Canis lupus familiaris: one gene and its partner. The protein of the gene in region 2 purifies or fractionates together with the protein of the main gene of each other region. This does not show direct contact. Links are inferred from orthologs where the notes say so. Each region holds a gene or a part of one and is shown on either strand. Other genes may lie near its edges.

What was found. The genes of interacting proteins can lie anywhere in the genome.
Region 1: the proteins of PHRF1 (region 2) and CSNK2A2 purify together in Homo sapiens (affinity purification with mass spectrometry; 3 studies listed by BioGRID and IntAct, counting the BioPlex papers as one, with this or other methods). This does not show direct contact. The link is inferred for Canis lupus familiaris from reciprocal best matches to the Homo sapiens genes PHRF1 and CSNK2A2.

The regions. Positions count from the first base shown.
Region 1 is NC_049223.1:57,697,725-57,701,369, reverse strand, and holds part of CSNK2A2 (casein kinase II subunit alpha'), read right to left. Parts: intron 3,561-3,645; coding exon 3,477-3,560; intron 2,679-3,476; coding exon 2,568-2,678; intron 2,327-2,567; coding exon 2,225-2,326; intron 1,482-2,224; coding exon 1,381-1,481; intron 367-1,380; coding exon 218-366; intron 1-217.
Region 2 is NC_049239.1:26,028,668-26,032,808, reverse strand, and holds the start of PHRF1 (PHD and RING finger domain-containing protein 1), read right to left. Parts: upstream 2,927-4,141; 5' UTR 2,824-2,926; intron 2,529-2,823; 5' UTR 2,411-2,528; intron 2,186-2,410; exon of another isoform or gene 2,161-2,185; intron 1-2,160.

The DNA of each region.
Region 1 (3,645 bases), on a different chromosome or scaffold from region 2:
CTCAAGGGGAGCTATGGCAGTGGACAAGCAAACACCTCTGCAGATCAAGAAAAGGAACTGCAAGAGCTGTCTCAATAGTCCAGAATGAATGAGGCCAAATTCCAAGGATGATTCAATCCAAACACCTAGAATTCTCCTGACTGGCCTCAAAGATAAAGAACAGGAGACTTATTCCTTTAATAAATCAGGCCCCTGCAAATGGTCCCTGGAGACTCACAGAAGTAGGGATGCTCCATGGCCTCTTTGGCGGTCAGTCTCTGTTGATGGTCGTATCGCAGAAGTTTGTCCAGAAGATCTAGGGCCTCAGGGCTGACGAGGTGTCTGTTCTCACTGTGGATAAAGTTTTCCCAGCGTTTCCGTGAATGTCTGAGGAGGAAAGGGAAGCACTGGTACTGAGATTCAATTCAACAAGAATCCAGACATTACCATGGTTAAAGCCAATAGAATCTTAGAACCCCAGGAGGATTATAAACTTATTAAATCTCATTCTCACAGGTGTCTGCCCCACCCTCCACGGGAATATCTGAGGCATCTTGAAACAAAAAACATGCTCTCTGATAAAATGAACTAAAGCTTCTACATCTGATTTAGAATTTGTGGCACCTTCCTAGATCATTTCTTATGGATCAGGCTTTTAGTCAATTCTGGTGAGGCACAGAGGTGACAGAGTTATTTTTGTTGTGCAGCAAAAATATTTAGAGAGCTAGCCTTGGAAACAGAGGCTCCACAAAACACTGAGAACTGTCAACGCATTTACTTTTCAACACTAGTACACTGTACCTGCAAATATGCTTTAAAATTTGCCACGTTGGGGGGATCCCTGGGTGGCTCAGCGGTTTGGTGCCTGCCTTTGGCCCAGGGCGCGATCCTGGAGTCCCGGGATCGAGTCCCACGTCAGGCTCCTGGCATGGAGCCTGCCTGCTTTTCTCCCTCTGCCTGTGTCTCTGCCTCTCTCTCTCTCTCTATGTCTATCATGAATAAATAAATAAGATCTTAAAAAAAAATAAAATTTGCCACCTTGTAGAAAACCCGTTAACTAGAACAAGAAAAAACTATAAATCTCTTCCTCAAAGAAGAATCACAGCTTTCTAAGATTTTCCATTAAAATAAGCATACACTGTCCTGCAAAGCATTTCACTGTAACAGGATTTTGTCTCCTATTTTCTATGGACTGACAGGTTATCTCTTGGAGAAGTACAACGATCAGAAGACACATGTAAACAATGCCCAAACCTCAAAACAAGTTTTAAAAAGCATACATGAGAAAAAAGAAGGGTATTTTCAACTTTGCTATGATTAGCAAGTGATTTCGGCGAATATTCCCTCTTCTGAAATGGGTTTAGTTAAAACCCTCGTTCTCTCTCCCTCTCTCTTACTTACTGTCCCAGGATATCGTTGAAGTGCGGATCTAGGTCTATGTGATACTTCTTCAGATACCCATACAGCTCATCTGTACCCAGAACCTTGGCAATGCGAACAAGCTGAAACACAAAACAAACTGACCAAATTACTGAGCACAGAGCTCACCGCAAGCCTGTGAGGATGCTATCCCAAGAAATGAGAGGACTTCTCCATCACTGAATCTCCAGGGACCAGAGGCAGATTGGAGCCCGGGGCTGACAGGAGGTAGACCAAAGGCCAATGATGTTCACAGAAAGCAAATTTCCAAACTCCCTTTAAAATGGTAATAACTGGGATCCCTGGGTGGCGCAGCGGTTTGGCGCCTGCCTTTGGCCCAGGGCGCGATCCTGGAGACCGGGGATCGAATCCCACATCAGGCTCCCAGTGCATGGAGCCTGCTTCTCCCTCTGCCTATGTCTCTGCCTCTCTCTCTCTCTCTGTGTGACCATCATAAATAAATAAAAAAAAAAAAAATTAAAAACAAAACAAAAATAAAATGGTAATAACTTAAGACAATAATCTTCCAGAAGCTGACAATTACGGGGGCATCACAATCTAATCTAGAAGCTAGTTGTTAGACAAGGTGTGTCTGACTTCTTCACAGACTCACTGTGGGGCATACGTGGAGCTTAGTAAGATAGCTTTATCTGGCTCTATGTTTGGGGACCTAGTAACCACAGACAAAATCTCATGAAGCTCTTTACCCTGAAGGAGAACTTAAGTGCAGACACTGAGTGACTCAAGGATAGCATCCCTGTCAACAGACTCCCATTTCTTTGGCATGTGCCCCCACATGGGGAAGAGCCAGTTAGTGTTTGCTCACCTGGTCATAGTTGTCCTGTCCGTGAAAGAAGGGCTCCTTTCGAAAGATCATGCTTGCTAACATACAGCCCAAACTCCACATGTCCAAGCTGTAATCGTACATCTGGGGAAACAAGGTCAGCCTGTTAGTGAAAGGTGTTGCAAATGTATTTCTTTGATCTGGATTTCTAGTCTTCAGTTGACCTTTGCACATATTTTAGAATTCAAAGAAAAAAAAAAAAGTCACTGAGAAAAATCTGAAATGACTGCTTCAGGCTGGGGTTTTGAATGTATCCAAACTGACTTAATAAACAGCACACGAGGAGAAGCCCTAAGGAAACACACAAAGGAGGCGTGAGTTGTACCTGATAGTCCACAAGGAGCTCCGGTCCCTTGAAGTACCTCGATGCTACACGGACATTGTACTCCTGAGCAGGGTGGTAGAACTCTGCCAGACCCCAGTCTATGAGCCGCAGCTACAAACACAACAGAAATCAAACCCGTAAAGGAGTGTTTCTAGACACCTGTGCCTTAGAAAAAGGCCACATCACGTTAGCTGACAATATGTGCGCTACATAACAAATGTTAGCCAGTGCACTGGCAAAAATTACCCTTTCAGCAACTGTGGAAGAGGTCACCTCTACAGTAGAGCTTTCAGAATCTTATTTGTTGTTGTTTTTTTTTTTTAATTTAAATTATCCTGGCTTATCATTCTCTTCCCATCAATCAAGCTTAAGCTTTTTACTCTGCCTCTGTTTTACTTGCATATAACACATTCCCCCATTATTAACAGCTCCCATCATAAGCTCAAGCCACAACACAAAGGGTTGGAGACCCAGGCCCCACCCCAGGATTGAAGCATTGCTCCAGCTTTTCATTAATCACACAGTAGTGGAATCACTTACTCACCAATCAGAGACAACCAGAATTGGATATGAAAAACAGGAGGGACCCAAGTGTAAAGGCTAGGCAGACTGGTCTAAGGGTCATTAAAAGAAGTACAAACCATCTGCTGGAGTTTCTTTGCGAGGCCCTCTGGAAAACCATGACCAAAATAAACAAGGGACTACAGTTAGGCTCACGGGTCTACTTTCCTTGTGTACCATGCTCATGCAGAGCAGAAAGCAACACTGGAGACCGGAGAAATAACAATAACACAAGTCTGCCAAAGAAAACAGTACTGGTCTGCAGTCCCTCCTAGGTCAATACCTAGAGTTGTGGTCTGCCCTAGACCTTTTAAGAAAAGCCTTGTTGCTGCCTGGCTGCAACGGTACCTTTTTCTGTTGGTGATCTATCATGACATTGTGAGGTTTCACATCCCTGTGCATGATTCCCTTGCTGTGGCAGTAATCCAGAGCCTATTAGATAAGAAAGCACAGAGAAAAGTAAGCACACTGTCTACCAACCTCCCAACGCAAGCATATTATTTGTGACAGCTTCACG
Region 2 (4,141 bases):
ACTTATAACGAACATGATTTAGCTCCGTCCAGTCAGGTACCTACAGCACCTCAGCGCTCCTGAGAGATCCCGACACTAGGGTGAATGAAACGGCTTATCCTGAGCTGCGGCAAAGCAGGGATTTCAATGTAGCGGGGCCAAGTCTGAGGTCAGAGGAAAGGGGTCACAAAAAAGACCAGAAGGCAGAGAGGCGAGGCAAGGCAAGGGCGGGGGAAGGTGGGTCCAGCCAGGTAAGGCTCTCGTCGTGGATCCCACAGGCAGGCTTCTCTCCCAGGGGCCGTCACCACCACCTCTGTACAGATGCTCCCAGACAATCACCTCCCGGTGGGGCCAAAGCCAGATTCAGATTCTGAAGTGCCTAACTTCCCTTACAAAGCCCCAGATTCTAGGATGATGTTTCCTAACATAGCGAGGGCATGTTAATCTGAGGAAACTATCAACTTCCTCATATCGTTTGTACCTGGAAATAGCATACTACGAGGTGCTTTTGTACAATTACCAACCCCTTAAAGCTTCCACTTTTCTTCTACTTAGTGTTTAACAGTTAAGAAAATGAGCCACGGTCCCACTCAACTAAGGGTGTGCACCCTGTTTGGTGGCTCAGCAACACTGTTGGGACCCAGGCAACCTGCTGGAGGTGTACAGACCACAGGGCAGGACAGCGCCACAGCCCTTCCAGGTGTCACCACCATTCCCACAACTGGACTCCACACAGTGGTACTTGAACACCTGCTCCAATACCTAACCAGCCCCGGAAGTATGAGCACCTTTCCTGCCCTACAACAGAGGTGAATACAGTTGGCCCTTGAAAAACACAGGTTTGAACTGCACAAACCCACTCAGATCCACTCCGTGCAAATTTTTTGGATGAGTACAGTTACTATAAGTGTGTTTTCCTTCCTTACAATTTTCTTCGTAGCATTTTCCCCTCTAGCTTACTTTGTTAGGATACGCTACATAACCACACAAAACACGCGTTTATCAACTGTCTGTGTTATCAGTGAGGCTTCCGCTCAACAGTACACCATCATCAAAAGATCTACTCGGATTTTCCACTGCATGGTGATCAGCAGCCCTAAATCCTGGTGCTGCTCAAGGGTTGACAGTACTAACACACGAAAACCTACCAGGGACACTTCAGACACCAGAAAACGTGACCCCCTGAGGCCACCCAAGAGAGGACAGAGCACAGCCAAGGGTGGTTTCTAGGGTGCAGATCCTTATCTTGATAATGTGTTACACAAGCACAAAGTCAAAACTATGAATGAACAGCCCCTGGCTTCTCCCCTAGTGCACTAAGACCTAGGTCCACCCGGGACGGGCAGTGGCAGGACCTGCCTCAGAGGGCTGCCTGAAAAGGTCAACAAGGCCACGGTGAGGTCTGGCACAACAGGGGCTTGCCAGAAATACCAGCCCCCGAGTCCCTGCACCTGTGGGGTTAGGTCCCGTGGGCCCGGTGCTCCTCCACCACAGCTGGTGAGGGCAGCAGCAGAGTGTCAACTAGGAGGCTGATCACTGTCTGTCCCTCCATCACCACATGACAGGGAACCACTGGCCAAGATCCCAGGTAGCCTCTGAAAGTATTTCCCAGAGCAAGCACCTGTGCAAACACCGAGGAAGAGGCCACGACTAGAGACCCCTCAGCAGCCCTTTCCCTGTCTGGACGTCTGCAGTCAGAACTGTGTTAACCGGGACCCCAGCCTAGGACCTACTGGCCCCACCTGCAGCCCAGCTCAGACGTGCCTGCCCACATCCACCATCCCCACCTCCGCTGACATGTTCCAGACCACAGGCCAGTGCTGGCAGTGCTCTGTGGCTCTCCCGCTCTACCTCCAGATTCAGGGGGGTTTAGAGGAAATAATTAAACCTCCAAACGCAAGGACCCAAAGCACCTACGATTCCAACCGTTACTAAGGAAGCATAAAGGACTTCTGGTGGTAACTGGCACCTGGGCCAGGTCCAGCAGGTCACACCCGGCCAGGACCGTCGTCCAGTACTGGCGGTCTGCCCACACGGAGGGAGACCTAGAAACTGTGAACTGCAATAGGAGTGAAGAAGTCAGGCCCTCAAGGTCTGCACGGGGCTGACCCGGCCAGCGAGAGTCCAGGCTGGGCAGCTGCGGAGAGGCCCCCAGCCACCCGCCTGGCGCGGAGAACGCACTGGAAGGTGCCAGGCACTTCCTCCAACTTCAAGGCAGACCGCCGGCGGTCCCGGGAGGCCTCAACCGCAGCCAGGGGCTCGGCGGGACCCCCGGCCCGGCGGAGGCTCGCGCACGGGTTAGCACCTGCTCCCTAGAACGGCAGGTGCTACAGCCTCCTAAGCCGCAAGCTGAGGCACGAGCGCCGCTGCAAACAGCGCGGAGCAGGAGTCCGAGCTCCGACGGACCCCGTGCAGGGCAGAAGGGCAGTACCTCCTCCCGGGCGTGCTGTGAGGACGGCGGGAGCTAGCAGCAATGCATCCCGCGAACGCTCGGCCGCCGGGACCGCCGGGACCGCGACGAGGCCGCTGCGAGCAGGGACTACCAGGAGCTGGAAACGAGTGGGCACACGGTCACACGCCGCCCACACCGGGGAGGGCGACAGCGCGGGCGGCTGGGGCGCCCAGGCGGCGGCCCGAAGGGCCCCCGCCCGCCCGGGGCCCGCCCGCCCCGCCCCCCGCCGCCCGGGGCCCGCCCTCCCCGCCGCCCGCCGCCCGCCGGGAGCCAGCGCAGCGCAGGCCTCGCCCCGCGGGGCAGGCCGCAGACAAAGCGCGCGGCACTCGGGCACGGCCCTCGCGGCCGGGGCGCGGCCGGGACCCCGAGACCGCCGCGGGCCCCGCACGTACCCGAGAGCCTGGAGCCCCTCCGGCAGACCCCCGGAGCCGGCCGCCGCCGCCCGAGAGCCCGCCTCGACTAGGCCGCCGCTGCCACCGCCGCCGCCGCGCGCTCCCCGACCCGGAAGTGCACGGACCCGGCTTCCGGGGCCCTCCCTCCCCGCCCCGCCCGTAGGCGGGAACCACTGGGACGGGGGGATGGAGATGAGCCTGAAGTGGCGGAGGGCGCCCTCGCCGCGGCCAGGGGCCTCGAGACCTCGAAGGCACCTCCTGAGGCCGCCCGCCTCCCGGGAAGACCAGCGTCCTGGGCAACTCGTGGTGTCTGGGCCCCCGCCTGTAGGCTGCTCCTCGTCGGCCTCCCCCGCCGGGAATGATACAGTCCGGGCCCCGCCCCCCGCCCGGGCCGAATGGAAGCGGCCGTCGTCCGCCCCTGAGACCCCGCCCCCGGGCACGCCCCCACGCGGAGGCCCCGCCCTCCCTCCGTCGGCCACGCCCCCAGCCCCGCGGGGCCCGCCGCTCTGCCGCCGCGGCTTCCTCCAGGTGCAGGGCACGGCCTGGGGGGACCCCAGCCCCAGTCCCGTCGGGTCCAGAAGCGGGAAAGCACGGGCGCCGCCCGGCACCGCCCCGCGCGCGGTTGTGAGCAGCCGACTGGCGCTGCGGGGTAGGATCCGGGCTCGAGGAGCCTCGGGCAGGCCCGGCCAGTGTTACTCCGGCGATGAGGGTGCACCGGGCAAGCTCGTGGGGGCCCCACCTGGGAAGGAGTCAGGCCCTCAAGGTCTGCACGGGGGCGGGGCAGGGCGGACCCGGGGAGCGGCGGGGCTGGGGCTCAGGTGCAGGAAGATTCTGAAGAAAAGGGATTTGCTGAGGGATGTGCGGAGTTGACCCAGGGGAGCCCGGGAGAGGGGCATCCGGAAGCCAGGCGAGGACGACAGCAGCCAGGCCCAGGGTACAGTGAGGCGGGGTCCCTGACACCCTGCGCAGCAGCCCGGAGGGCGGGGGGGGAGAGTAGCCAGCGCCCCAACTCTTGCAAGTGGCTCTACTGCGACAGGAAGGAAGAGTGGGGCCCGCCAAGGGAGGGCTGCGTTTTCTGCTCCACCGGAGAAATAACTGCTAGTTCAGACTCCGAAACGGACTCTGCCAAAAGGGACAATGGAAGGCGTCAGAGATGCGGAAGACCGTGGAGCAAATTCTCTCCGCGGGCCACAGGGGTGGGGTCTGGAGAGGGGTGGCCCTGGGTGTCCCCCAGGCCAGGTGCTTGAACCAGTGTATCAGTCGTTTACCCATGAGCAGAGCTTCTGGACCTCTCTGTGCCTCCCCATCCTTGGCTGTA